Linked DNA regions of Arabidopsis thaliana. The protein of the gene in region 1 interacts with the protein of each later gene in a pairwise test. Each region holds a gene or a part of one and is shown in the gene's direction. Other genes may lie near its edges. The genes, in order: NAC095, MYB32, HAT22 and MYB14.

Region 1 (7,423 bases):
TTTGGTTTTTGTTGTTGTTTTTTGAGTCTGAAATTTCAAATTTGTATTTTTTTTTAATATATATTTAGGCAGGAATCTTTAAAATGAAACCAATAATATATTCACTAAGTTTGGAAAAAAACCAAAATTTCATAATTAACGGGACAATGACTAAGCTGTGGAAAAGATAACATAATCTCCCAATGACTCAATGCCACGTATAAGATGAGAACCGTACTCTTCTGTGTTCGTACCAGATCCCTCAAAAGGCGGGAAGAAACCATCAAGAAAGGCACATTGCTGACGTGGAATGGAATATTCGAACACGCATATCCAGCTCCTTCCTCCTTTTTCCTCATATCCCTTTTTTCTCAATATAAATACTCTGCAAAAAAACACCCACAAATCCTCACACAAAAACGTTTTCGAAATCCCTAATCTACTCTCTCTTCTCTATATCTCTACTCTTGAGAAATGGCTCTTAGAACTGTGCTCGTCTCCGACGTCCCTAGCCTCCCGGATTCTGTCTACGGTTTATCCGAAGGTATTTCTCTCTCTGTCTCTCTCTCTCTGTTTCGTCGGCTATTGAGCTGTTTTCGTTTCTGATGATCTTGTCTTTGATTACAGGTTTAGAGTTGAGCAAACCGACGTCGTTTAGGTTACCGGGGTTTTCGGTGATTGGACATAGAGGAATCGGTATGAATGTGTTGCAATCGTCTGATCGGAGAGCGAGAGGTGTTAAAGAAAACTCGATTCTTTCATTCAATTCCGCCGCTAAGTATCCGATTGATTTCATTGAGTTCGATGTTCAGGTTGGTACTCCGATCTATGTAATCAACTTTAGGATTTGAATGAGACAGAGGATTGGGGTTTTATGTTTATGTTTTTGTGTGTGGAAGAAGATTCTGATTTAGATATCTATTTATAGATTCTTAGAAATTGAAATGAAAAATAAGAACATGAAGATTTGAAGAAAGAGAGAGAGATGGCACATAGAGAAGCATTCCAAGCTTTGTGTGGTTTTTCTTTTGTAGGTGACAAAAGATGATTGCCCTGTCATTTTCCATGATGATTTCATCTACTCTGAAGAAAATGTAAGTCTACATTGCTTTCTTCATAGATCTTGGTTTTATATTTCTGGATCTTGTCTTCATGGATCTGGTGTTTGTGTGTTATGGTTCAGGGTATTGTTAATGAGAGTAGAGTGACGGATCTGAGTCTGTCTGAGTTTCTCCTTTATGGACCTCAGAAGGAAACTGAGAAAATAGGGAAGACACTGATGAGGAAATCTAAAGAAGGGAAGGTTTTGAAATGGGACGTTGATTTGGATGATTCTCTTTGTACGTTGCAAGAAGCTTTTGAACAAGTTGAACAAACTCTTGGGTTCAATATCGAGTTGAAATTTGATGATCAGACCGTCTATGAACGAGAGTTTCTTGTCCATATCCTGAGATCAGTACTACAGGTATGCTCAATACTAGTTCCGTATTCTTCCTTCTTTTTCTTGTTGGAGTATGAATATTTATTAGGGTCCAATAGAACCATTTGTTAAAAGTGCTCACAATTAATTTGATCTCTTGAGACCTTTTTGTATCAATGCTGTTGACCTAAAACTGCTGGTCCAAGTTGGATCTAGATTGATTGAGACTTGTTAACTTATTATTTTCTGTTTTTTCCATTCTGTGACAAAACTACAGGTGGTCTCTAATTATGCTAAAGACAGACCAGTAATCTTCTCAAGTTTCCAACCAGATGCAGCTAAGCTTGTTAGGGAACTGCAGAGCACTTACCCTGTATGTTCCATTCTCGCTCTTTTCTTTGATAAATACCAAAAAAAACTTCTTGACTTCTTCATGGAGAAATCACTTAAGATTTAACAATGTCATATGAACTGAACCCAGGTTTTCTTTCTGACTGATGCGGGAAACGAGATTCACAATGACGAGAGAAGAAACTCGCTCGAAGAAGCCATTCAAGTTTGCTTGGAAGGAGGTCTTCAAGGTATTGTTTCAGAGGTAAAAGGAGTGTTCAGGAACCCAGCAGCCATTAGCAAGATCAAAGAATCTAACCTCTCTCTCCTCACATACGGCAAACTCAAGTAAACCTTCTTCACTTTTCTTAATAAAGTCTAAAGACCTTAAGTTTGTTTCCTTATTGCTGTTGGATCCGATCACTGATTAATCAGATTTTAATCTTATTTCAAATATTGTGTTGCAGCAATGTCGGAGAGGCAGTGTACATGCAATATGTGATGGGGATCGATGGAGTGATTGTAGATTTTGTTGAGGAGATTATAGAGTCCACGACACGCATGATGATAAGACCACCACCATCATCATCACCATTACCATCACCTTCCAAGGATGATGATGTTGCCATTACAAGACCTGAGTTTTCACAGAAGGAGATTTCTTTTCTTCTCAAGCTTCTCTCTCAGTTGATACAACATTGATATCTCTGTTTTTTCGTTTTCTTTTATCCCAAGTTTCTTTTTAGGGTTTGATTTTCTTATTGATTTAATTATTATTCTGGGTGTATTACCCAATAGTTGGAATTGTAAATAATTATAAATTTATTTCTTTTTACAAGGATTAACTTTCTCAAAAGAAAATCAGCTATTTTTTAATTAATCGAAAAATTTAGAAAATATATACGTGATTATCTTTTATATAAGCTTTTAAGATATGTCACCCAAAACAAGCTAAGCCCAAGATGGATCTAGACTTTGAAACTCTCATTTTAGGGCAAAAAAATGGTTTTAAGGTTGTGTTATGGATTATCTTTTATATAAGCTTAGTTATATCACTAGGTGACCAATTGTAATGTGCTTTCGGTATAGAGTCAGAGTGATATGACGGGATACGTAGTTTGTAAGCGAGAAGGTGTTTTTCTTAGTAAAGCTTTTCTTATCCGCAAGAAGATTGACTTCAAACATACAGCTTATCTCTTGTGAGAGGTCAAGCTTTATAATGGAGTGAGATATGTATTTTCAGAAGTCTTAAGTATGGACATAAGATATTAGTTTCACATATTTCAATTTTTGAAAGTTTGCAAGTAAAAACCACAAAACAAACGAGTCTGTAGGCACGACCGCACGAGTGCTAAAGTCCGCTGCATATTGATAGTTCGAAGACGGTGTTTTGTCGATATTATTCACTATTTACGTGTCGCGGATTGATTAGCGACTAAAGAATTAGCCTTAACATATGTTTTGTTGAAATATATTTTGAGTCAAGATTATTCTTAATTCCCAATAGAATTTTGAAGTATTTGTCTTTGTTCCAACCTTTAAAAGGATGCTTGAAGTTCCAATCAAACTACAACTCATGCTCTCTCCCTCTTCTGCCTTAACTATGAAGAAAACAAAAGACATTCGTTTTTATTTTTCTCTTCAGTATCAAATTCAAGAATCCAATTCCAATAGCCACAACATAAATTCTCTTTGATATAATAATCTAAAATTAGAAACTGATTCACGTCTCTAAATTAAAATTTCTGATCTATTCAAGTAACTGTTCTTATATGAGTTTTGTTTCCATACATGCTTTGATTTAAACGTTTTCTACTACAATTATATCTACCTCTCAACACTGGAATCCAATTTTCTTTATACGGTTTATATCAAGTATTGATTGTTTTTGTCCAAAACAAAAACCAAGTATTAATTGATATAGCTATAGTACACTCAAATTTTAATTTGCTCACTATAATTCTGATATTACTTTGAATAGAAATTCAAAATTATCTAATCACAAAGTTCAGTTTATTTATAATATGGAAGCTTTGAGCAAAATAATGTAAATATAATTATAAAAAATAATTAGAAATAATTTAGGACAACTGAAAAAAATATGGATTTCGGTCTATAAGTTTCTATTATATATCAAAGGAAGTACTTTTTTTTTTTTGATAAACCCTAAATATCAAAAGTACTTTTCGTTTTTGCCAAATATGTTTAATTACTTATTTTCGAGATGTTATCTTCCATTTTTTTCAGTATCATTGTAATCAATGATAATTATAACAAAATCACGATATGAAAAAAAATATTCCATTAATTGATGTAAAAAAAAAAGTCAAATATCATAACATTAAAATGTAACTTTCCCCTTATTTACTAACTAAAGCTCATGCATGCGTGGCGTGATATTATCTATTCAATTCCTTTTCTAAAAAGGTTTTCCTAGTCCTATTAGGATTAGGAAACAGAGGTTGCTATATAAATACTTGATTCGCTCGCGTTTATCTCAGTCACAAAATCCCTACTTCTTCGTAACAACTTACTAATATATAGGCAGCTTGGAGCTTATTCATTGGACGACGAACTCTTTTTCTTCATCTCTTTCTGTTTTCTTTTTCTCTTCTTTTGTTCTGAGAATAATGGGCCCAACATACAGAGCTTTGCCAGTAGGTATGAGGTTTCGTCCTTCAGATTTGGAGTTGGCTGTTTACTTTTTGATCAAGAAAGCTTTAGGACTTCCCATGAAAGCTCTTACTGTGCCCGACGAATGTAATGATATCTTCTCAACACATCCTCGCGACTTGCCTGGTGAGAATACTTTCTCCGATCCTTTTGACAAAACAGATTTGATAGAGTTTTTGAGTTTCTTGATTTAACTTTGGCTACTTCTTTCTTGCGTGACAAGCTTTATTTTGTGAACTTGTTTTTGCTCTGTTCTTTCAGGCTATGGAAGCGAAGAGCATTGGTACTTCTACTGCAAGAAACCCAAGAATCAAGTTACTAGAACGAAATCTTATAACCTCTGGATACCAACGGGAGAAAAAACTGATGTGTTAGATCCAAAGAAGAATGGCGGCGAATTAGTCGGTATCAAGCATTCGTTTACTTTCATTGAGAACGAAGAAGAAGAAGAATCTGATAACAAGAACGGCGATGAAGAAGAACCTCCACAATGCAATTGGTTCTTGGATGAAATCAGCCTCCCATTGACAGTTGTGGATACTGATTGGACTCTGTGTCATATCTTTTACGAGAAGGTTAAACCTGAATTTGGTAATTTGCATATAGTCGAATCTGAATCCGAATCCGAAGAAGAAGAAGAAGATGAAAGTGTTGATAAGCCTGCAGAGAGTTTGGATAGTGTTAAAGAGAAAGATGGAACTGTTCTTCCTCCACCTCCTGCTACACCTTAGCTTCTTCATGATATAGTGTTTTACTGTTAGTGTTGGTGGATTGTAGATTCTCTCAAAACCTGTCAACGTCCAAATCTTTATTACCTCTAGTTGCATACCTATTGTTTTAAAGATGCTTATTTCACTTCAATATATCGGTTAGGTTTTTTTTCTTTTTCTTTCCACAATATATCGATTAGGTTATGTGGCTCGAGAGACTCACTTGCTCGCTGATACAAAAGTTCCAGAACAAAGAGATCATCCCTCATCTAATGGCTCATGTTAGCAATTGTCCGCCTACCTTGCTAAATTGCGCTCCTACACCTAAAGAAAACTATTGATATGAGTCGTAGTAATAATCAATCGATCTCTCTATTCCAATAATTGTTAGGAGGGTCATAATATATAGAAGAAGATAGATGATATATGTTATATAATATGATATATTGATATGTCCAAAAATCAAATTGTTCAAAAGCCTTAATGAAAAAGAGAAAGAGATGTTTGACCAGCTTAAAAACTTCCGGTCAAACACCTAAAAACCTTTTTTCCGCCTTTGTCATAAATCTTTGACTTTTTGACTTTTTCCCTCTCAACATCTCTTTTCGAGATTTCACCACGTGTCAAACCTCTCATCTGAACCGTTCATCTTACACGCGTGAGATTATCTCATTTTCTCCTCCTCCGTCTTTCTGCTGTTTCTTCGATCTGTTTCTTTGACCAGAAAAACAAAAGCTTCAAACTTTTTAGCTTCTTCTTCTTCCTTCAATGTCGTTGAACACATCCCACGATACTTGACAAAATATCTCACTCTTTCGTCTCTCTGTTTTCGACTCGCAAACCATCGAAGCGCCGATTAATCTTAGAGGAATTTCTTCGTGATTAGGGTTTTGTTTAGTTCTATCTGGAGATATGATGAAAGCTTCGTTTGGAAGGTTAAGAAGATTCGCATTACCCAAAGCCGATGCGATTGATATAGGAGAGCTTTTTCCCACTGCACAAATTGAAGGTCTTGCTCGAGCCGCCAAGGTAAATTTTCCCTCTTTTCACTGATCTTCTCTCATGATTCTCTGAGATTTAGTTTTTTTTTTCTTTTCAAAATCGTGAGTTATTGATCACAAGATTGTAACTTGGATGAGTTTTTGTGGATAAAAATTTCCGATCAAAAATCACACCCTAATTGGAAATTTCAGGACTTTTACAGTTATAGAAGTTTGTTCATTAATTTCTACTTTTATAGACTTATCTTATGGAGAAATTTGGAATTGGTATTTATATCAGTTATGGTAAGAAATTGATATTGTAACTGATGCTAGTTGTTGATTGGTTGAACTAGAACTGGAAGATACATTTTATGACCTAAGCTTATTACTCAATTGTTTTCAGGATATGCAAGATATGAGAGAGGGTTATGATAGATTACTCGAAGTAGCTGCTGCTATGGCTAATAGCGCATATGGTAAATAAGCATTCAACCTTTATGAATCTCCACTTCTATAGCTTCATGTATGAATTTGGAAGGTTGATGTTGTCAAACATTGTGACTGTAAAGTGTACGGTTGCTTCATATAAGATGGGGCTTGCTATACCCGAGCTTTATTGGATTGAATTAGCTTTCATTCATATTGTTTCTAGCGGAGGTCTTCGATAATATTATCATTTTGCGAAATCTTCATTTTTAGTGTCTCTAGAATTTCCCATTAAGTACTTTCTTAACCTTGTGAGAAACCTTTGTTGATTCATATAAGAACATCAGTATATTGTCAGACCTCATCATTTTTTTTTTTTCTTTTGTTCGGTATAATCAGAGTTCTCTGAATCATTGGGGGAAATGGGCTCATGCTTGGAGCAAATCGCGCCTCATAATGATCAAGAAAGTGGTAAGATTTTGGGTATTTAGCTATCATGGACGTTTGTTTGTCCTGTTTCCATGCTGTAACATTGTTTCTTCTGCAGGTGGAATTCTTCTAATGTTAGGTAAAGTTCAGTTTGAGCTTAAGAAACTCGTCGACACTTATGTAAGTTGTATGTTGCAACTTTGTACTTTTCATGAAGCAATATGTATAATTATGAACAAAACTGAGGTAGTTCTTGTTTCATTCTTTTTTTTCTCCTTCAGCGTTCTCAAATATTCAAGACCATTACACGACCTTCAGAGTCACTTCTCAGTGACCTTAGAACTGTTGAGGTATGCCCTAGCTTTGGTCTTTTACAGTCAGAGATTATTTAAAAGCCGGAAAAGTTCACGGTTTGAGCAAGATTTAAAGCTAAAGTGAACAAAAAAGCACAACCTTAATAAAGACCGCTGATT
Region 2 (8,193 bases), on another chromosome or scaffold:
TTTGAAGATCGCTCTCGATCTCTGTGGTAGGATTTTGATTTAGTTTTTGTAGATTCACTTTCTGGATAATTTCATGCGATGTATCCGTTTTATGTTGTGGTTTAAGAACACTGTTCAAAATAATTACATTATGCTTTTGGAAATGGACTTTGTATCGCTTAATTATGAGATCCTATCTTTGATGTTTCAGAGGGCGTGAAAGCTAAGCATCCCAAAATCACATACGCAGACCTGTATCAGGTGAGTTAAGGCTGTGAGAGAAATCTTTTTGATGTCCTTGTTGCTTTTTCTGCACATTTGTTTTTCAAAGTTCGCTGGAACTGTATTCGGCTTGTGTCATTACCTCGTCCCAGGTTTGAGCTTGTTGTTTAGGAGACTTAGTTGATAGTTGAGCAGCTGTGTAAATATGGTTTCAGTTGTAATTTGTTTCAGGAGATGTTACTGATTGTGATTTGGTTTACAAAAATCATAGATTGACTATGTTGTTCAACTAGAACTTTTATCTCTTGCAGTAATAGCTAAATTCAAGTAAAATATACACTGAATGAATTCAAACGACCAAGAAGGAAACTGTAATGTAATGTCAATCTGTTTCCATCCTAAGTCACATGTCTGTCGTCTGTACCTATAACCTGTCTCTACGACTGTTTGTATTGCCGTTTCTCCATTTTATATTTGGTCTTACAAGGTCGAGGCTTTATTTATGAATTCCCAATAGAAGTGTACCAGTTTAATGGCAATTAAGTTTTGGGTATGAATTATTTACTTTTAAGTGTTTTGTTTCAGCTTGCTGGTGTGGTAGCAGTTGAGGTTACTGGTGGACCTGACATCGTGTTCGTTCCCGGGAGAAAGGTATACTTTCTCATCTCTTGAGACATTATAACAGCTTATCAGTTTAACACTAAAGCAAACATAATTACTGTATGTTTCTTCTTGATAGGATTCAAATGTCTGCCCCAAGGAAGGAAGACTTCCTGATGCCAAACAAGGTACACTAAATTCTTGTATCAATTATAACAAACTTTTCATGTTTTCTACTGATAATCTTGTTTTGGAATTGGAAGATTTTTTCTATGAATTCACATTGTTTATATCTCTGTAGGTTTCCAACATCTCAGAGATGTCTTCTACCGCATGGGACTATCTGATAAGGATATTGTGGCACTCTCAGGGGGTCATACTCTGGTAAATTCATTGGTCACTTACTTAACTTCCGTTGTTTTTGAACAAATATGCTTGTTGTGCTTATGACCACATTGGGTGTTTAGGGAAGGGCTCACCCGGAGAGGTCAGGCTTTGATGGACCATGGACCCAAGAGCCGCTGAAGTTTGACAACTCCTACTTCGTGTAATTTTCATTTCTTTATCCTCAGAGATTTTCTTTGTGCATTTTTTTAATCTTTTCTGTTTGTGTCTCCAAGAAATAAAAGCAGCAAACAGATACTTTTTTACATGATCGGTTATCCATGATTATTTACTGTTTTGGTACCAGGGAACTGCTGAAAGGAGAATCAGAGGGCTTGTTGAAACTTCCAACTGACAAGACCTTATTGGAAGACCCGGAGTTCCGTCGTCTTGTTGAGCTTTATGCAAAGGTATAATATACTGGAGATCTTCTCTGCCTCTTTGCCATTTGTTTCTTGCGTTGCTATAATAACCATTGGAACATAACTCGATTTCCTTTATTGGTTTCACATTTTCACTGAATCCACAAGCACACACACTGAATCACAAACCAAATTATCTAGGGTTTTGTTCTAGAGAACCCCACGGATCCTTATCGCCTTTATAGTTGCTGATGTTGCAAAATGATAAAATGAACACTCTTACTACTATCAGTGAGAACTGTAATATTAGCTTTTTGTTAGAACCGTAAACAGAAATTCCTATGGTTCTTTATGATTTCCTTGCTTAATTAAGTTTCAATAAGATAAGAAAGTGTTGTTATGTGTTGACAAGTTCAGTTTGTGGTGGCAGGATGAAGATGCATTCTTCAGAGACTACGCGGAATCGCACAAGAAACTCTCTGAGCTTGGTTTCAACCCAAACTCCTCAGCAGGCAAAGCAGTTGCAGACAGCACGATTCTGGCACAGAGTGCGTTCGGGGTTGCAGTTGCTGCTGCGGTTGTGGCATTTGGTTACTTTTACGAGATCCGGAAGAGGATGAAGTAAACGAAATAGGAAGTAAAACACGAAGCAACGATGCTCTTATTTGGGTATTAAAGAAACTATTAATCGTCTATCGAATCTATTTTGCTGCTACAAGATTCTAAACTCTTTGAATCCACGATTCTACTGTTTAGTAGTAAAAAAGTTAAAAAGTCAATATTTTGGGTCCGTGATTCATTTTTGCGATATTTGTTCATTGCAATGTTCGTTTCACTTATTAATTAGTACCAAAGAAAAAGAAAAAAGAAAGAAACAAAGATCGGTCGATATCTACCAAAGTGGGGACATAACCTGAAACTTGACCTAACCTGGTAGTGGTAGGTTTAGTTAGGTAGGAAACTTCTACTAAGAAATTAAAATTAAATTTTTTTTTGCTTTCGTATTTTCATTAAAGAAGATAATATATGATGTTGGTTGCCAGTTACCTAAATATAGGCTCGGGATGACATGTAATGGACGCAAAGTAGCAAATAGCTTTATTCAAGTTGACATAAAAGAATTGTTGTTACGTAAAAGAAGTGTACTGTATTTTAACAGAATGTGAAATCACCTAACAATAACTTATATAAGAAACTAAAAGAAAGAAACGCATGTCTTCTAAATTTGGCAAGAACGAAGGTTTTGTAACTTGTAAGTAGTTTAAATAAATAAACCATACATTTTTAATAATTAGGAAATATATGTTACATGTTGCACTTTGTATACATTCTAAAAGTCGTATAATGTACCTATTTTTTTAAGATTTGTTTGGTGTGTGTGTAGATAACAAATCACATGTCAATTCTATCCCATTTCTATTTTCTTCGTTATTAAATATACAAATATGTCGGTAGGAGTTCAGAGTAAATGTACACCATGAAATCTACCAAACTCTTTTAAGATTGTCTTTCAGGTATCAAACAAACTTTCACCAATAAAGCTTTTTCCCTTTTCCAAATAAAGAACTCCAAACAAGAATAAAAACCACAATCATTATTCGATATGTTTTTATCGATACTTATTTCAAAATATCCCCTTACCTATTTACAAAAGCATTTCACGAATGTTTTTCTTAGAGTCGTCGTATTTTCATATATACTGATATTAGCTTAATTAGCTCGTGATGACAGCAAAATTCTTGAATATTTTGTAGGCCATGGTCTTTGTAACTTGTCAAGAACATAGATACGTCGGATAAATTCATAGATATCAATTCAAATGATAAGCTAGCTTACGAAAAGCGTTTCTCAAGAAACTATGATTTTTTTCTAAGAATTAGTTGGTCGTTACGATAAATAAGAAACCTTGAATTGATGGAAAAGAAGATAAGGAATTAATTAAGAGATTGGTAAAATGGTAGTTGAGAAAGTAAAAAGGTCACGTGTTAGGGCAAATCATTAATGGAAGAAGGAGAAAGCAGGTAGAAATGCACTCTCCATTTTCATTACATTACAAACTCCACGTGAGGTTTCACCGATTGTAGGAACTCCTGATTTTGTGTTAATTACTCACAAGTAATTATCATATAGCGCGTAGCTAAATATTAGTATAGGATGTAGGTTTTACTTATATAATGCTATATCTCACTACTTTGGTGAAGAGAAAATGGATATTAAAATTTAAACGGTTGATACATTATCTGAATAGTTCTTATATATACGAAACGATTTGTTGAGATATGTTTTAACACTTCTTAAAGGAAGTAGGATAAAGTGGAAGGTCACGAACCACTCCCCATATTGCAGCCAAATCTACACCAAACCGTACCCAAAAATGAAATTAACTTTCCCTCAAAACCAACCTTGTTTGTGTCTTCTAGATTAATCCTCCAAACTTTTGATTAACCAAAAAAATTATCAAACTAACATGTTCTCCTTTTTTCTTTAGAAATTCTAACGAATTTATCTTTATACTGATTTGAATATACTTAATTTGGTCATTTGGATGCCCTTTACAACCTCCTTACCAAACTCACTATGGCAAATATATACTATTTTCCATTGTAACATAAATGTCCATAATTTGAATTAAATTCGTTGCAGTACGAAACCATCCAACTTTGTCCAAAAACAAAATCCTTATAACTATTTACTTTAATGTAAATATATCCTCTACTTTTGTTTTTACAACCCTAGCTCAAACAAATTTATTATTTGCGATATAAAATCATATCGAACAAACTCGATGATTTTTTTTTTCTTACGTTATTAATGAAACTAAAATATAGAAAAAAACAAGATGAACCAAATTTTCACCTATCTAACTACTTAAATATAATATGATTAAATTTGGTAAAGTTTGAAAAGTTTCTTTAGGAAATGTGAAATATTGATCACAGTTTCTATTGCTAAAATCACCAACAAAACGCATGTCGCCATTCATAATTATGGTTTCACACCTACAACTAGGCTAATAAGTAAATAAGTAGACAACTAGACTCAGGTTTGAAAAAACCATAAAAGCCATATAGCGTTTTCTCATTGAAACTGCGAACACGATCGTGTGAATGTTGCAGTTTCTAGTTTTGATACAAACAAACAAAAACACAATTTAATCTTAGATTAAAAAGAAAAAAGAGAACGGAGCCCACTAGCCACTCCTTCAAACGTGTCTTACCAACTCTCTTCTAGAAACAAATTAGGCTTCACCTTCCTCTTCCAACCTCTCTCTCTCTCTCTCTTTCTCAAACCGTCTCTCCATAAAGCCCTAATTTCTTCATCACAAGAATCAGAAGAAGAAAGATGGGAAGGTCTCCTTGCTGTGAGAAAGACCACACAAACAAAGGAGCTTGGACTAAGGAAGAAGACGATAAGCTCATCTCTTACATCAAAGCTCACGGTGAAGGTTGTTGGCGTTCTCTTCCTAGATCCGCCGGTCTTCAACGTTGCGGAAAAAGCTGTCGTCTCCGATGGATTAACTATCTCCGACCTGATCTCAAGAGGGGTAACTTCACCCTCGAAGAAGATGATCTCATCATCAAACTACATAGCCTTCTCGGTAACAAGTGAGTCACAAAACAACTCCTCTGTTTTTTTTACTATCCTCTGTTATGTTAAAAAGCTCTGTTTTTTAAACTCTGTTTTTTTTTTCTTCTATCAGGTGGTCTCTTATTGCGACGAGATTACCAGGAAGAACAGATAACGAGATTAAGAATTACTGGAACACACATGTTAAGAGGAAGCTATTAAGAAAAGGGATTGATCCGGCGACTCATCGACCTATCAACGAGACCAAAACTTCTCAAGATTCGTCTGATTCTAGTAAAACAGAGGACCCTCTTGTCAAGATTCTCTCTTTTGGTCCTCAGCTGGAGAAAATAGCAAATTTCGGGGACGAGAGAATTCAAAAGAGAGTTGAGTACTCAGTTGTTGAAGAAAGATGTCTGGACTTGAATCTTGAGCTTAGGATCAGTCCACCATGGCAAGACAAGCTCCATGATGAGAGGAACCTAAGGTTTGGGAGAGTGAAGTATAGGTGCAGTGCGTGCCGTTTTGGATTCGGGAACGGCAAGGAGTGTAGCTGTAATAATGTGAAATGTCAAACAGAGGACAGTAGTAGCAGCAGTTATTCTTCAACCGACATTAGTAGTAGCATTGGTTATGACTTCTTGGGTCTAAACAACACTAGGGTTTTGGATTTTAGCACTTTGGAAATGAAATGAAATGAAATACTATATTAATCAATTTATAGCTGTGAATTGTGATATAAAAGCTATTAACAGACTCGTTCATGGTTCTCAACTTTTCTAATAACTAGTAATTTTATTCATATCATAGTTGTTAGGATCTGTCGTCATATTTGATAATCTACTAAAAAGATGCGAAAATGTTCGCCATTTGTAAGTGTCGCATGGGTGTAATGCTTTGCTGACAAGACATATGCATTCAAATTCGATCCTTGGTATATTTCTAGAATTTTACTCGATAATCCAACCAATGTTTGACAAATGTATGTCGATGGTTATTCCCAAGAGATTGGACATATCAATGAAGTGGATAAGCTGTGTAAGGATGAGAAGCGTGAGAACGATTGAAAGTGTACATGTTTTCTATTCATTGCAACCTTTTGGCATATTTCGTTTGATTATTTTTAGTACTAATTCAAAGCATTCACTGTGTTGGTAAAATGTCTTTATCACATTAATGTGTTGTTCACTATATTAAACAAAAGTCACTCACCTTATTTCCAAAACTATACAAATATATACATATAAGAACTTAACTAGTGTGGTTTGGTTTTTTCCAAATGTTTGTTTATGTAAAACAACGGACATCAACCTAAAACTTTGGAGTTTAGTTTAGTATCAGGCTAGTGGGCATAATTAGGTTCTTCTACATGTGATAGTGTTAAAGATACGAAATTTCAAGAAATGTATATTGAGACATATATCAAAGATTGAACGATATCAAAATAGATATATGAGTTATATTGCTTTGACCTACTTGATGGATATTTTCATATATAATAAAGTGCAAAATGTAAACTCAAGATTAGGATAACCTATATGAGCAACAAAATATGGAGAGGAATTCTGTAAACAGTCCGAATTAGCTTTCAATGTATAGTTTGTACTTAAATTTTGGTGACGCCTACTAAACAGTAAACACACCATAAATCGACACAAACTACCTGTAAGCTTTTACTGACTATCAAATTAATTCAAATAGATTTGAACCGCAAATCAGAATGATGTAAGTAAGCTAGAACTCAAAACGAATAAAACAAATCATACAAGTTGACTTCTGCATGATATACAAAACTTGGTTGAAGTCCAAAACAATAAATTCAGCCTATCAAAATAAATGGCCTAGTATGAGTAGCCCAATGCATCAAATGGGCTTTTCAACATTGGGATATGCGACTGGGTTGGTGGCATGCCCATCTGTGTAAAACCTATATTATCCTAATCTCTGAGAAACATAAAATAGTATTTTCATCAGAAGTTGAAATTATAGCCGTTGTAAGCTCATATAATGGACGAATATAGTAATATTGAGAATCACTAAAAGTCTCTGTTCCGTCGCTTTTATTGTCCAATTGCAGTGACTCAGATTCTCTGCTCAACTCTCCGCTCCTCCACCATAAAAGAGATAAACAAAAAGCCTACTAATACTTAAAAAGCCTACTAATCTACTATATGATTAGTTTTTGATTACTAGTAATTGTGTTGACAAAATCAACATGTTAATAGTAAACAGAGGATGTGATGAGTTTACGATTAGAGGGTGTTGATTGTTTTAAGAGAAACTAATCGACCGTTATGAATGGATCGTATTATATAGTTATGATGATCTCACTTGCATGTGAACGATCACACTTTTCCTGGTGATGAAAGGTAACTTCCGCAGTTCCGATGTTTACTTTTCTCTAACCAAAATTGTATAAAAATGAATAAAATACATTGAATCCTACAAAGCGATGACTCATTCTTGCAGTATCTCCGTAAAACGCTGTCGTTTCATTAATATCACTGTCCACGACCACAAAGACCACCTATCTCATTCGCTAATGAAATTTCCGTTATCTTACAAACAAATGAAATTTATCAAAATTGTTTTCTCTCACTTGTGTTAATCAGACAACTATATTATTGCCCAGAATCATACAAGCGACATAGTACTAGGAATATTTTCGCAGAAGAAATATCCAAAGTTGATGATTTATCTGAGTAAACTAACAATTATAAAAGTTATTAATCAAAAATGAAAAAAAGAAGTAAAGAATGATATTTTCCTTTATAATTATGAGAGCACCAATGTCATGTCGGTAAAACTCCCCCCACTCACTTCACTCGCTCCACTCCTTCAATGGCTTCCTCCACCATCGTTCTTCTTCTCTTCCTCTCTTTTCCGTTTATCTCTTTCGCAGCTTCTCAGGCCGCGAAGACTTTCATTTTCCGTATCGATGGTGGATCTATGCCTTCTATTTTCCCGACGCACTACCATTGGTATAGCACCGAGTTCGCCGAAGAATCTCGAATCGTCCATGTTTACCACACAGTCTTCCATGGTTTCTCCGCCGTTGTTACTCCAGATGAAGCAGATA
Region 3 (8,095 bases), on another chromosome or scaffold:
AATGGATGGTGCCTAAGTGTTGATGACATGAGAACCACCACTTTAATTTCTCTCTTTTTGTTATCTATTTTTCTTATAATACCTTTTCTTATGAATATATTTGTTCACCGCGCCAATTAAACGACTTTATCATTGTTGCCAACAAACGTATTTAAGTTTTTTATTTATTTGTTATTGTTGTGGTTGTGGATATTTTGTAGTTATCGTTTGGGTTTGATTAGTCTTAAACCTAATTTTTTAATCGTCTTCCAATCATCTAAACCATCTAAAAAGGTCTTGCGAGTTGGGGTCACACCGTTATTTCATTATTATTTTGTATGTATTAATACTCTGTTTTATAATACGACATCTTTTTGCCTTTTGTCTTTATTCTTCCCCTCTTTTTCACACATTTTTAATTGGTTTTAATTTTTCCCCTACCTTTTCAAGAAGTCAATATTTATCGATATTCCTGTCATTATTTAAAATCGTGTTATTAATGACTTATTGCCGACATATTAAAAAAAAAACTCTTCATAATATATACTCCATGTGTATTAGTGTATGTATAACATTTCATCTATCATTATGCATATTAGCAAACATGTAAAATAATAAGTATATGTGACAGTTTACAAACATCATTTGTCTGATTAAATCATTAAAAGATAACAAAATTGTTCTGACCATTTCGTAAAAAAAAAATTAAGTAGTATACAATAGAAACAAATAATTTAAGAAGTCGTTTATTCAGAAATGATTCTGGTAATCGCACGAAGCTTATTATTCATCATCGTTATCTTTCATACTATAAGATAATAATTAAGAAGATCCTAGTAAAATTTGGTCTTTGAATCTGACCTCTTTTCTACGTTCTATATTTTGTCATGTAATGCGATTATTTTGATATGATCATGCGTCATAGAACACACGCTCCATAAGACAAAATGTGATAACATATTAAATTCGATAACAATAAATAAGACAGAAACAAAACTAATCATGACGACGTCTAGTTACAGGAAGATCGCCTAAATGACTAAATTAAATAAATTATCGGGTCAATACAATTACTAATTTGTCTTCTCGTTCTAACTTTGAAATATTTAGATATTGGGTCTTTGTTGAAAAAATATGATTTAATCATGTCATGATTTTTCTAATCTTGACACCTCGAGTTTTAAATACAACACTAGGACTATGTAATTATTAAATAATACATGTAGTTAATAAATACATGTGTCGTCGTGTTCATGAGTTTGCCTCACCTTTCCTCTTAGGAGACTGGTCTGGCCGTCGGGGACCAATGCTCTGAGATACAAAATTATTTTTATACTAATAATTTATAGTATAATAATACGTATTCTTTGTATGCAATTCAAATTGTTTTCATGCATCCCTCTCTTTAAATGAATTGCAGCTTGTCCAAATGGTTAAAAGTTCTCGTTAGTTGGAATCAAATATCTATATCTTCAACATTCTCAGAACTATATATATTCTAAAGTTTCAATAATTTTTGTTCCAAACAACAAAATTGACTCTTTAAATAAAGTCAGGAAGATTTTGGTAATGGCGATTGCAATCTTTTTAGTCAAAAGACACCAGCAAAATGATCAAAAGGCGAATTTAAATAACTTCATTTGTAACTTCTGACGCCCCGACTATTCTAGCTGTTACAAGTGACCAAAATGGCTAACAATGTACACGTTAAACTTTTGATTTTCACACTACCATATTTTATAAAAATCATGATGTTCTAATTGATTATATAAATAAAATGCTTTACATATGCATGTAGTTCACATTTTTTTTTTTTGGTTTGCAATTGTTTCTTAAATAAATAAATAAAAAACCTAATTTAAAACAAATCAGAAGAAAAAAAAATTGCAAACCAAAGTAATCCAAATAAGCTAGTATTTTAATCGGATTGTGAGTACTTTCTCCACTTCTCCTTCGAGGCCACGCTTATATATTAATTTGTACAATATGGGTAACCTAACTTGGTTGGAAAATAGAAAGTGCCAAAAAAAACAAAATATGTATGGCTAAAACCAATAAAACGTCCCACGTCGACTTTCAAGTTAAGTCCCTCAACAATATTATTTCTGTTTGACGAATCACATTCCACCACCACCATGATTACCAATCTTCTTCTCCCACCCGTTTCTAATTCAGGCCATTCACAATATTTGATACAGAATAATGAAACTTAATGTTGAACTATTCCGCCATTTTACTGTTTCAATTAATTAAATATTTATCTAAACGAGGTGCTGTTAGTAAAAAAAGTTCCAATATTTTTCTAGCTAATTCTATAAAAAGACACTTTGTACTGTAAGAGCAGAGACGATAAAAACAGAAAATGTAACGATAATTTGTTACGTCCTGTAATGAATTGTTTAAATTCGAGTAATGATATTTATGCATTTTCTACATATATGCTACTAGTAATCAATAAAAGCATAGTATTATCAAAACTAGAATGCGGTGGAAATAAATAGATAGAAATCATTGGATAAATAAGTCCCAACACAATCTGGCCAGATCAAGAGAACCGAACCTAAAACAAGAAAGTGGAGATCACAATCCGAAACCCTAAATAATAATACAAGAAAGGGGAATATAAAAAGAAATTAGAAGAAATTAATTAAAAACCCAATGTGTAGTGTGAGGAAGTTGAAGATTGGTAGGCAAGCTGACATGTTACCCATATCTACCTTCTTCAAGCAAAGCATGGAGTGGGAGACAATTCATGTGGTCTCTTATTTAATTAAAGTTGCCTCTTAATTACTCTCTATTGACAACTTATTATGATACTCCTACTTAGATAAGTTAAATGTATCATTTGATTATAATCTAATTTATTTTAAGGAAGTCTTCAGTTCTGTTAGTTATATTTAACGCTTCAGTGGTATATTACAAGAATATCTGTACTCGAGTAAATATTTTAAAATATCAATCACAGAACATTGGATCTTTGAATGTGGGCATGGGAGGATATAGAATCGTTTCGTCATGTGCTAGTAATTGTATTGTTGACTTGAATTGAATTTGTGGATATATATCCCGATTAACAAATTGAAACAAACATGTAAAGCAATGTATAAATGGTAAAAGATAGAAGTAAGTTTATCAGGAAATGCAAACCATCAATTCGGATATAGGAGTTTAAAAGTCTAATCGAAAGTTTTGGAGAGACTAAAATCTATTACACCCAAAAAAAAATTGCGTTGAACCGTTTTTTTTTTTTTTTTGGGTTTTTAAAACTAATTTAATTTTCATACCACGTCATAAAAATTATATTCTCAGAGTATAAATTTGTATACTATGAATAAACATACTGAAAATTTATGAAGTGGGAATAATAGTTGCAAGTGGGGTGCGCATTTGGTCAACCTTTGTAAGTAAGAAAATACAAAGGAGAGAGAATTGTGCTATCATAATTTTCCACATTCTTTTTTTCGAAAATTCCATATAAAAAAGTAAGCAAAATAAATACATTCCTTGATTAATTCTAATTATTAGCCACCCACCCACCCACCCATCAAAAATTAAAAATAAAAATTAAAAAGACAAAATAAAAACTCTCTTCCCCTTCTTAAGAAGAAGCCATCTTGGTTTCATTTCGTCCCATAATCTTCCAAACTTCACCAGAAGAAATTCTTAACAAACAATTTTCTTCATAATATTAATTCTCAAGATCTTAAAGATTATATTAATACGAAGAGAAAATTCAAATGGGTCTTGATGATTCATGCAACACAGGTCTTGTTCTTGGTTTAGGCCTCTCACCAACGCCTAATAATTACAATCATGCCATCAAGAAATCTTCCTCCACTGTGGACCATCGTTTCATCAGGCTCGATCCGTCGTTGACTCTAAGCCTATCCGGTGAGAGCTACAAGATCAAGACTGGTGCCGGCGCCGGCGACCAAATTTGCCGGCAGACCTCGTCCCACAGCGGCATCTCATCTTTCTCGAGCGGAAGGGTAAAGAGAGAAAGAGAAATCTCCGGCGGCGATGGAGAAGAAGAGGCGGAGGAGACGACGGAGAGAGTGGTGTGTTCGAGAGTGAGTGATGATCATGACGATGAAGAAGGTGTTAGTGCTCGTAAAAAGCTTAGACTCACTAAACAACAATCTGCTCTTCTCGAAGATAACTTCAAACTTCATAGCACCCTTAATCCCGTATGATATAGTTAATTATTTCCTTAATTAAACTAATCAGTCTCTTCTTATTTACGTTAATCATATCGTTAATTATTTTTTCTATGAATTTACAGAAGCAAAAACAAGCTCTTGCGAGACAGCTGAATCTAAGGCCTAGACAAGTTGAAGTGTGGTTCCAAAACAGGAGAGCTAGGTAAATATAATTGATTACTTTTGTGAATTTTAATATCATACTTTTCTTTCTTTATTTTGGTTCATAAAAATATTTTTTAATTAAATTTTAATTTGAACAGAACAAAACTAAAGCAAACAGAAGTGGATTGTGAGTTTTTGAAGAAATGTTGCGAGACTTTAACGGATGAGAATAGAAGGCTTCAAAAAGAGCTTCAAGACCTTAAGGCTTTAAAATTGTCTCAACCGTTTTACATGCACATGCCGGCGGCGACTTTGACTATGTGCCCTTCTTGTGAGAGACTCGGCGGTGGTGGTGTCGGAGGAGATACGACGGCGGTTGATGAAGAAACGGCGAAAGGAGCTTTCTCCATCGTCACAAAGCCTCGTTTCTATAACCCTTTCACTAATCCTTCTGCAGCATGTTAGTTACTTATTAGTTATTTAATTTCTTTTTGTTGGTTTTTTTTTTGTTTCTTAAATCAAATTAGGAATTAGTTAGAAGATAAATCCCAGGGAAAAAATATTACGTTGAAATTGGGGGGAAATGGGGTATAGTCTTTATAGATAAGACTCTTCAACGATTCCACTTTATTTTTCGGTGGGATTGTTGGTTGATGAAGAAAAAAAAATAGTTTGTAATTACAGGTTTAAATATGTAGAGAAAAAATGACGAATATGTATTATCTTGTTTTTTTTTCCTTCGAATATGTATTACGGTAATATAAATTTGCTTGTAAAAATAATAAATATATTATTTGATAAATTTTGTACAAGTTTATATCACGTCTGACGACGTATCCTTAACAAATGATTGTTCATTCATGTGAGTATAATATTGATTTATACTGTTAAATGATATTTAAATATGGGTTCTAATTTGAGTTCACACTTTACAAACATAAACAACCAAACACTCTTCCGTATTTTAAAGATTCTTAGATTGATTCTTAACAGGAGGATTCGTGTATATATTTGTAAAGTATCCACTACGATTTTATAATTTCAGAGTTTCTTTAATTAGCCAAGTCTCTATTATTCTTTACTAATCGTTCATCTTAATGAGACACTGGTGCCAACTTGGTTTTGATTTCAACCGTCAAACCCAAAAATGGAAATAAAATTGATTGAAATAATTTGCCACCGATAAATAAAACACTTATAACTAGTATAACTAAATAGATGGAGAATCCTAAAACTTCACGAAGGTAAAGGTATGAAAAAAATAAAAGATGAGACGGTAAGCCAAACCAATCTATATCAATACATCAAAATATATTTATTCAAAATTCACATTTTATTAGTGTTTTTTTTCTGACTCATCAGTCATATGACATATATACATTTATTTGTTTTGGCTCCAGATATAATAATTATATTTTTTATTATCCAAAAGAAAAGAAAAGAAAAAAACTGAAAAATCATTTGATGGGTGTGAATGATTTTAAGGGAGAGAGATAAAGGGTGTGGGGCTAAGAGGTTAGCTCACGTGTATTGATACATCTCCTTAAAACCTTTTAAATTTATCCAACCAATAATTATAATAAAGTTATAGTAAAAACAATTTAACAAAAAAAATTATAATAAATCTTTAAACTATATAACACTGACAAATTAGAAGAACCAATACGCACCATGCAAAAACGTGTTCACATATGTAGTCAAATATTATCCATAATAACAACAATAATAAAAAAAAAAATATCATCATCTTATTACAATGCTTAATTGCAAAGAAAAGACCTCTATTTAATAAAGATACGTTTGCGAAAAAATCTATAAATGGAAATAAAATTTTAAAAATAAAATAATAATAAAAGTTCTTGAAGATTTGAAGCAGTGAGATGCTCCATCTTTAAGAGGTAAGGTGGGACATGCTTCACGTGATTTTCTCTTCATTTTTCTTCTCACGACCATGTTATAGATGTGTGGGATTAATTATATGACTCTTCTTCATGTTATACCCATATTTGCTATACACGTATATTCATGTTTTTTAATGAATACATGACAACGAGACGTATTAGTTAACATATTTATGAAAATGACAGCGAGAAATATTCATAAGTATTTTACCAAAAAAAATATTCATAAGTAATTACGTGATTCACGCAAAAAAAAAAAAAAAAAAATTTACGTGATTCACGAACACAAGTATAATTCATGAATCTTCCAGTTTCAACACGTACATGCACAAGATATGAGTAAAATTTGATTTTGATTTTTATTTTATTTTTAAAATTAAGTTTTTGTTACTTTTTTACCTGAACCGTTTAATTTTATAATTAATTGTCGTATGTAGTAGTACATCTAATCAATAAAAGCTGATATTGATCGCGACTAACATTTAATAAAATCATTGATTTTCTAGGTTGTGTTAAAGGACGTCGAGGTCTCGAAGATCTCGTTGAGATTTGATCTTCACGAGGCACGAGTAATATGTTTGCATGTTTTTATCTAAAGTAATAATATGTATGTGAATTAGGGTGTTAAAAGTAATTTGGTTCGAGAACATATAATAAAAATAGAAATTTAAGCCTTTATAAAACAAAAGGAAGATAAATTTTGATATAGAATGTAATGCATGCGTGATGATGGGGGATGGATGAGATGACGAGAGAGTCCACAAGAAAATCATAAGATCGGTGACCCTGAAATTATGGTGGTGGACCATTTAATGATGAGATGACTTTCCGGAGAAATCGGTGACTTTCTCAAAATCTCCATTCTAATTTCACGGAATCATTCCCTTGTAGTGTCTCCTTTTCTCATTTTTCTCTCTTTCTATTTTTTTCGTTCAAATTTGTTTATATTATAAGATCCAAATATAGTTTTATCCCATAATGCTAAATCAGGACTTAAGGGTGTGACTGATATAGTATTAGAGTAAATGAGTAGAAAATATATAAAGAGTAAACAAATAGAAAGAGAAATTTATTTTTCTTCAATAATATTTATCTCAACGTTAAGAAAAAAAAAAGAAAAAAAAATATTTTTTAATTTTCATCATGATTTATATATGACCAGTACAAATTGAACAGAAATGAGGATAAAAATATCTTCTTTTTTTCACCATCTAGAAATCAAAATGCAATATAGAAAACTAAATGTAAACGGAAATAATCAAGATATAATCCAGTAAATGAATCCCTCTCCCTTCCTCGCCTGGATATCATAATTATATATAAAAAAAAAACTAAAGACAGTGAAAGCTATATAATATGTATATGCTATATCTCTACTCTTTTTTTTCATGTCTTCTTTAAGAAGATTTTCATAAACATTTGGGAGTATACATAAATATTTTCAATCAATTTTCTTGCTTATCGAGGTTTATTTATTTGCCTTCAGTTTTGCTGTCGATTCAATTGTGTGAGGTAACTTTTTTTGATATCCCAAAAAATATTCTAATTAATAATGCGCATTTTTTTATTCCACATATGTGCTCGTCTACAATTACATGCATAGTGCGAGTGAAGGTTCATAATTGGATTAACAAAAAATATTATTTTAATAAGCATTGACTAAGTCAAACTTAGAGGATTAGTAGTATTCACTTTTGAAATACACATGGTCATTTTGACAAGAAAATTGGCTCAATCAAGCGAATATAAAAAAATATATAATAGGCGGGAAAGATTATGATGAAACGTCAAACGTATTACATATTTACATCGCCCGAAGTCGGTATGGAAATAATTAATGTATATGAAGACGATATGTATTTTATTATGAATATGAGTGTATATTAAGATTAGTCATAGGTTAATATTATT
Region 4 (8,210 bases), on another chromosome or scaffold:
GGTCTGGGGAATTTTGCTAAGGTATAGATATCTTTCTTAGAACATCTGTGCCTGCTTTCCTCAGCAGCTTCAATAGGAGACCTATGAGATATATTAGCTTTCTAAAGACCATCCTTTTATACATCAATCAGCTTCACTGGTTTCCTGTTTTTCATACTTTTCTGGCATTGTTTGTTTTAAATAGGGAATGGCTACAGTTGCAGCAAGGGCAACAAGATTACCAATATATTCATCTTTTGCCAAAGAAGGAAATCTTAGTGACATTTTTGCAAAAGGAGAAGCTATCTCTACTCTTTTCAATGTTGCCGGGATAGGTGCTGGTATTCAACTTGCGTCCACAATATGTTCATCAATGGAGGGAAAGGTAATGTCATTCTGCTACATCGTTACTCTCTATTTCAAAATGCAGTTTCTATTTGTTTGGATTGCAACTCTATTATGAAAAGGCTGATATCTGCAGTTGGTGGTTGGGTCAATTCTTTCGGTTGTACATGTGTATAGCGTTGTAGAACAAATGCGAGGGGTACCAATCAACACACTGAATCCACAGCGAACCGCTTTGATTGTGGCTAATTTTCTCAAGGTAATTAGCATCATCTTTTGTTCAATTTTTCTGTAAACCATCTTGTTGATTTCTTTTAATTACATAAGAGGTGTTGTTGTATCTTCTCAGACTGGTAAAGTCCCAAGCCCTCCTGATTTAAGATTCCAAGAAGACCTAATGTTCCCCGAGAGACCAATCCAAGACGCAGGAAATGTAAAAGTGGGAAGGGCTCTCCATAAAGCTGTGAAGCCTTCTGAGGTACAAAGACTAAAACAAGTGTTTGTAGAAGAGAAGTTTCTATTGAGTCATGGAAAGTCATGGACCGATATGGTCTTAGAGCACGATGCAACCGGTGAAGATGCATTGCGAGGGTGGTTAGTTGCAGCATATGTCAAGTCAATGACAAAGATATATAATGACCCTGATGACATTATATTGCAAGACGCGTATGACAAAATGAACGATGTCTTCAATCCATTTTTATCTCAAGTGCAAGCTAAAGGATGGTATACTGATAGATTTCTCGATGGCACGGGGACAAGATTTGCTTGGTAGCTCCCGAGTTTCGAGTAATTTTGCTATTGTAATTTTTTATTGTTTCAAGTATAAACACGAATTTGTAGGCGTAAGAAGTCTTTATCCAGATCATGAATCCACAATCTAGTACTTTGAAGACTTAGATGGATTAGATTAGAGTGAGATTGTTAGGTGAAACAAAAGTTTGAAGGTACGGTTCTTGTCCTCGTTTGTACTTTTGTTTTGCCATTGTAAGTTTACATATTTTATCATATATATCAATCAAAATGGAATCTGATTAATGCTTTTTATGGATATATATATATATATATATTTATTTAAAGTTAAAATAGTTCTCTTGGTCAAATCTTGTGTACGGGCTCTATTTTTCCTTAGACCTGGACCCTTCCTTAGTCTTCATTTTGGGATATTTTGATCAGTGAAAATGTCCCAAATATATCACTTTTGTTGCATGTTGTTACATATAATATTTGATAAATGCAATTATCAGAACTACCTTATACGAGGGTTAGCCAATGCTACTGCCTACTGGACACATAACTAGTAAGATTCTGATAGAGCATGAGAGGAGGTAAAAGATTTTGTTGGTTAAGTTGTGTTTCAGGTTTGGTTAGACTTAGACCAAACTTAATTTCAAATTATCATTATGCATGTTGTTAATAAATAAAAAAAACTACAGAAAATAAAAATGTCATTAATGTATTAAAATTAACATTTCAACCTTTCATGATTATTTAGCAATTTGTTAAGTGATGAAAATGTTTACTTTGTTATTCTTATACAGATTTCAAAATTTAGTTGAGACATTTTATTTTAGGGATAGCTAGTTGGATCTGATTGAAGAAGATAAGTAACACCTTTTTAAATATTAACTAGTGAAATGTTTAAGGCTTCTTTACTTTTGACATGCATGTATAATCAATAATGCAAATCAGCCGACCCTTGGAAAATTACAAAAAGAAGCGACAAAGTTAGTAGTTGAATGGACCCACAAATATCTAGATTTCGTTAGGTCACGATCCATTTGAATTTATCAATTATCAAACAAAACACTTGCATTAAAAACATGGGAACTCCACAATTATATTGGAGTAGTGTTGTAAGAGAAGATAACCCTCGTTGTATTAGAAAATGAAACCCCAAAAAGAAAACGGAAAGAGAAAAAAAAAATTGTGAAAAAGGGCAAGATCTTGGTAATGATGGAATTAGATATCGACGATCTTCGTTTTGTTTTAGTCTATTCTTTTTAAAACGTTGTAATCTTGGTCTAAATACGTTTAATTTGAAACAGTATACAAAAGTTGCTTTTGACAGAGACAAACGAATAGTTTAACTCAAAAGTAAATGTTGTAATGGTGAGTGAAGGTGTGCAATTGAAAGAAGCCAAGAACCATATCACTAAATATCAATTGACGACAATTTCATACATTTTACGATCTCATGGTTGTAATTATCTTACGTAATGACATATACCGTAAGAAAGACATTTCTGTTTTTTTTTTACGGTATGACACTATGAATAATTGACGTGTTTCAAAATAATCTGGTTGTCTATTTTATTTTAATTACTAACTCACCGGTAATTTAATAAATTTAAATTTGTATTTACAAAGTAAAATTATAAATACTCTTTCGAAATTAAAGATTCATATGACCAAAACAATTCAGATGTAGTATCAAGTCATATTTAACATTAAAAGAAAGCGGGAAAACAATGACCAAAAAGTGGAGTCATCAAATCATATTCTAGCTAATAAATCATTTCATAAAAATTTTTTGTTAACAATATGACCTCTGATTCTCTGAATCATATTAGAAAAGAGGAACCCCTTTACGTACGTACCGTACCTACTTCGATGTCTATGATTTTCCCTCTTGACACCACAATTGTTTTGGCTCTACATACCTATTTTTTAATTAATCGTAACGGTATTATATACATTAAGAAAGAAAATAGTGTAAGTGTTTAATATGCGCATAGAAAAATATGAAACTTTTAATGTTTCTTATTGACTTATAGGTCACCCAACAAGCTTGATTGAGATTAAAAGTTTGATTATTTTTGGCCCATGATTTGATCGGAATTGAGCACTATGAGCCTCTTTCTTTGACATTTTTATGCATATATAATTTGAACCTTTCTTTCCTCTCATAATGTTTTATATTATTTTATTTCCTAATTTCTTATTATTTATATTGGAGCATTTTTTGCTTAATATCTTTTTTATATAACTCCGTAATCCGAGGCTCCGAGCGGGAGTCCGGGTAAACTAGAATGGAGCAAGCTTGTGAAATACAAACACACCATATTAAACATTTAGACTACATATCAAAACCAGTCGTCCAAAAAAAAAAAAAAAAAAAAAAGACTACATATCAAAACCAACTTATCCAATAAAGTTGTTCCAAAAAGAATATGAAACATATATGATAGATATATTTAATAGTAATTAAGATTTGTCATAACCAATCAAGTAAACGGATCATGGCTTGTATACCAGTGGTTTTCAATAATAGCTTGTATAACAGTGGTTTTCAATAATAGATTTAGATATCGGGTCATTAACTTTTGAAGTGGGTACACAGGTCGACCATATGTCGATCTTTCATATGAATCATGTGACTCATATGCTTAGTGAAACTAGCGTCCCTAGAACATGATAATTCAGGGCAATAATTGCATAAGTAGAGTGATGTTTGCGTTTTGCTTCTCATCACACACTCGTTTCCCTGGTTGCGTGTTGCATCTCAAAAATATTGCAAATATCCCGAAATAGAAAGTTTTGGACCCTATCTGGTGATATATAAAGAGAATCCTTTTGGCCTGAGTCGAACTGATTAACCGTTAAATATTTTACTACTGAATGGCACCTGAATTATAGGCAATCTTTACACAACAGGAGTTACAGGACATCGAGGCTCCAGTGGTATTCGTCGACCTCATCAAAACAGATTAAAATACATTAGAAAAAAGTTTTTTTTTTAATGAATCTAAAAAAAAAGTTCAAAGGAAAAAGGTTAAAAACTTTGGACTGTGTAGATCAAAATTAGTATGAGAAAATTTCAACTTGGAGTTGTCCCACGGTTGCATTGTGATTATATAATAATAATATGTGTGTATATATAATAACACACTAAACGTCGACATCGCATACTTCCTTCAAGCATTTGGCTTCTTTAGCTCTCATAAACTTCATACCCATTCAACACTTGTCCTTCTAATCATTTTACTCAATTGAAGACCATTTTGTTTTTCTTTTTCTGAGTGTTTTTTTTCTTGAGGGGGCAACGGAAAAAAGAATGGGAAGAGCACCATGTTGTGAGAAAATGGGGGTGAAGAGAGGACCATGGACTCCTGAAGAAGATCAAATCTTGATCAATTATATTCATCTTTATGGTCATTCTAATTGGCGAGCTCTCCCAAAACACGCAGGTGAGTTTCCTTTTTACATTTTACTTTGTATATTGATTATCTATTAATGATTCTTGAAAATGAAGCAATTTTGGTTGGTGTTTTTGTGCAATTTGTTTAGGTTTACTTAGATGTGGGAAAAGTTGCAGACTTCGTTGGATCAATTATCTTAGACCAGACATTAAACGTGGCAATTTCACTCCTCAAGAAGAACAAACTATTATCAATCTGCATGAAAGCTTAGGCAACAGGTTTGTCTTCTTTTTTCCCCTAAAGAGTGATTGAGAAATCAAACAGTTTTAGGGTCGACGTTTCTTTTTTTTTTTGTAATGTCAACTTCCTTTTTCCTTTTTCCACTTTGCATTACACTGACTCTCTGAGAAGTGAGTATTACCCAGTCTAAGTTAATAAATGATTATTTATGTAACAATTTGCAAAATATTTTAACACCATGGGGGTGGTAAGGAGATTCCTGTCCGTGATTTCCTCTGTCTCAAACCAAACCAAAGACTTCATTAATTTGTTTTCAAATATACTTTAAAAAAAAAACAGAAACAAGATCTTCTATATTACTATTAAAAAAGGATATGCACTTTGATCAATGCAAAACATATGGCATGTATAAGCTTTTCTTTTGTTGTTTTCTTCTGTTTTTGAGCAACTAAAAAGCAATATAAAGTAAGAAATTGATGAAATCCATACAATACTATTATACGTGGGGCGCTTTTTTAAAAAGTGTTTTGTTTTTTGTTTGTTTCTTAATTAATTTAGATGGTCTGCGATTGCTGCAAAATTGCCGGGACGAACCGACAATGAAATAAAAAATGTTTGGCACACTCATTTGAAGAAAAGACTCAGCAAAAATCTAAACAATGGCGGAGACACCAAAGACGTTAACGGAATTAACGAGACCACAAATGAAGACAAAGGATCTGTGATAGTCGACACAGCCTCTTTACAACAATTTTCTAATAGTATTACAACATTTGATATTTCAAATGATAACAAGGACGATATTATGTCGTACGAGGATATTTCTGCCTTGATAGATGATAGTTTTTGGTCGGACGTCATATCGGTAGATAATTCGAATAAGAATGAGAAGAAGATAGAGGATTGGGAAGGATTGATCGATAGAAATAGTAAAAAATGTAGCTATAGTAATTCTAAGTTGTATAATGATGACATGGAGTTTTGGTTTGATGTTTTCACTAGTAATCGTAGAATTGAGGAATTTTCCGACATACCCGAGTTTTAATTTTGATTTTGATTTTGTGTTGTTTTTGTCGTTAAGACTTTGAAAGTCTTTTTGTAATCCAAATGAATAAATTCCTTTTCTTTTTCTTCCTCTCTGTCTATGTTTGTAGACTTTTGAGATTGCATGTAAATATGAATATCTTACATGCATTTTGATAATAAACATCATTTAAGATAACATCAAGACATGTAGCAATGGTTAGTTTGAACATGTAACATCACTTTACCATGTTACCACCCAGATTCAAACATGTATATAATATGAAAGAAATAAAACTTTTAAGAGGGCCATTTCGGTTAGTTTGGTTTCTAAAGAAATAAATGTTAACTGAAGTAAAAAGAAATTAGAAATGGGTCGACTTGAATTGTGGTTTTCAATCTAAAATGAACTCCTAAGTGTGTAAAGACTAATAACTTCATCCTGGTTTATAATCAGGACAAAAGGAACCATTGTTAAACGTTTTGAACATATAACAATGGTTCCTTTTGTCCTAATTATAAACCCAAGAACTTATTAGAGAACATACTATCGCCGAGCCAACCTCACTCCTTAACTTTGTTTTAGCTGGTTGATCTACACTAGGGTTTTGCCCTAAACTTTTTGTGATAATTTTTTTTGTTCTAGTTGATCAATGTTTTGCAAAACTTCAACATATAAGGTCCAAGGTCCTGTAGTAGACAACTAGATATTATTTACAAAATATTAAGGACTTTTAAACTATATTTTGTAGACCTTTAATTAAAACCTATGGATGGTTCCTACGAAAACATCAATAACACCATTCCGGTCGTACTTAAAAATTTAAGAAAATCAAAATGACAAAAACGTGAGTAGATTAAACGATTATAGTTAACGATTACGCATACGTAATATCACATCGAAATATGGTTCTTTAAATTTTAATTTTAATTCCAATATCATCATCACTAAAACATTCTTTTTTCCTTCAATATTCCATTAGTGGCTAATAGACAATCCCATATATTATTTGAAAAACCTAGACATTTTAAAAAATTTCGTCAACAACCAAGATGGTGCTCCTCTAACAAGTCTTGATTAAACCGAACCGGAAAATAAAACCGGTTTACACAAACCGTAATTAGTTCAGAGGTTTTAGCTAATCACTCGCCGCTTTTTCCTATCCGAGATTTCATCATCTTCTTCGGAAGGAGCTTATCGTTCCACACCAATGGCTTCTTCTGTCCTTAATCTCTTCAAATCATGTAGACCCTTCACTCCAATACGCTTCTCTTCTCTTCCCAAGTCTCAATTCAGAATCCAATTTCCCCTCAGACCCGGAAAAGAAACTCAACTACGTCGCTGTTTCACGACTCTGTCATCATTAACGGACGGTGGAGCACCAATTTCCGGTGGGAAGGAGCTGTGGCTGCACAACACGATGAGCCGGAAGAAGGAGCTGTTTAAGCCTAAGGTCGAAGGTAAAGTTGGAATGTACGTTTGCGGTGTCACTGCTTACGATCTCAGTCACATTGGACACGCACGAGTCTACGTCACTTTCGATGTACTCTTGAGGTATCGACTTGGAGAAATAAGCTTTAAAACTTCTTGGGTTTATGGAAAGTTATGATTTTTTTATGATTTTGTTCTTTTGAATTTGATTGGGAATTAGGCAGGTACCTTAAGCATCTAGGATATGAAGTGTCTTACGTTCGAAATTTCACGGATGTGGATGACAAGGTGAGCTAACTCTGCTTCTTGGTGGTTAGCTCAGAGATTCAGGGGTCTTATACAACTTAAGCTCTGTTTAGAAGTTTAGAGACAGCTTCTCGAGTTCGTTCAGGAAAGTTTTTTAGTGAGAACCTCTTAAGATTGAGTTTTGTGGTACCGTTAGGTTAATAGGATGAGTAGCCAGTGTCTGTTATGGCATTCCTGGACCGCGTTTAAGTTATTTATTTTCTTGGCGGCTACATATTGGGCAGTAGAGAAGTTGAAGCTGATTGATCTTATTTCTAGTGTCTCCAATACTGTTATTTCATCTCATTTACTTGTGAGAGGCATGTAAAAGGATGGATCATAGTGCCATCAAAGTTGCAAGATTTGAACGTTTAGACTGCTAAAGTTATTATATTGGTGGTTGAGGCTAGTGAAAATGTTGTACTATGAAATGCCAAAATGGAGAATAGTCAGTATTTTCTCTTTGTTAGGGAGAAGTTCACTTAGTTTTATCCTTTATGTATGTGTCTGCTCTTTTACATCTGCCTACGTTTGTGTCACCAACTTTGATTAACCTTAACACAGACTAATTAGCTAGAAGAATAGAACTAATTAGTAATGTCCTTTACTAGATTTCCTCCGTATTGTGCTACAAGATTTCACAAATGTTTTCTTTATTTCAGCCTCTCTCTGACTATATTTTCTAGGGGAACTTTCACTTTTTCTTATTGAAGTTGTATATGGCTAGATTCTTTAGCTACATATGCAACTGACTCATGAAATTT

Evidence for each region.
Region 2: the proteins of NAC095 (region 1) and MYB32 interact in a two-hybrid assay, tested with the Arabidopsis thaliana proteins (one large-scale study listed by BioGRID).
Region 3: the proteins of NAC095 (region 1) and HAT22 interact in a two-hybrid assay, tested with the Arabidopsis thaliana proteins (one large-scale study listed by BioGRID).
Region 4: the proteins of NAC095 (region 1) and MYB14 interact in a two-hybrid assay, tested with the Arabidopsis thaliana proteins (one large-scale study listed by BioGRID).

Annotation. Positions count from the first base shown.
Region 1 is NC_003076.8:16,441,405-16,448,827, forward strand, and holds NAC095 (NAC domain containing protein 95), read left to right. Parts: upstream 1-4,250; 5' UTR 4,251-4,359; coding exon 4,360-4,528; intron 4,529-4,663; coding exon 4,664-5,133; 3' UTR 5,134-5,269; downstream 5,270-7,423. Other genes in the region: GDPD2 (PLC-like phosphodiesterases superfamily protein), read left to right, coding at 454-523, 607-791, 1,014-1,073, 1,163-1,444, 1,677-1,772, 1,881-2,077, 2,197-2,431; AT5G41100 (hydroxyproline-rich glycoprotein family protein), read left to right, coding at 6,025-6,141, 6,499-6,571, 6,921-6,992, 7,069-7,130, 7,232-7,300.
Region 2 is NC_003075.7:16,658,986-16,667,178, reverse strand, and holds MYB32 (myb domain protein 32), read left to right. Parts: upstream 1-4,629; 5' UTR 4,630-4,889; coding exon 4,890-5,152; intron 5,153-5,247; coding exon 5,248-5,809; 3' UTR 5,810-6,078; downstream 6,079-8,193. Other genes in the region: APX3 (ascorbate peroxidase 3), read left to right, coding at 1-26, 191-240, 787-852, 941-989, 1,103-1,185, 1,269-1,348, 1,493-1,595, 1,978-2,172; SLP2 (subtilisin-like serine protease 2), read left to right, coding at 7,956-8,193.
Region 3 is NC_003075.7:17,764,525-17,772,619, forward strand, and holds HAT22 (Homeobox-leucine zipper protein family), read left to right. Parts: upstream 1-3,517; 5' UTR 3,518-3,716; coding exon 3,717-4,166; intron 4,167-4,261; coding exon 4,262-4,341; intron 4,342-4,441; coding exon 4,442-4,748; 3' UTR 4,749-5,152; downstream 5,153-8,095.
Region 4 is NC_003071.7:13,284,347-13,292,556, reverse strand, and holds MYB14 (myb domain protein 14), read left to right. Parts: upstream 1-4,176; 5' UTR 4,177-4,381; coding exon 4,382-4,514; intron 4,515-4,614; coding exon 4,615-4,744; intron 4,745-5,264; coding exon 5,265-5,751; 3' UTR 5,752-5,876; downstream 5,877-8,210. Other genes in the region: RUS2 (root UVB sensitive protein (Protein of unknown function, DUF647)), read left to right, coding at 1-21, 185-364, 461-583, 674-1,099; SYCO ARATH (Cysteinyl-tRNA synthetase, class Ia family protein), read left to right, coding at 6,941-7,284, 7,386-7,449.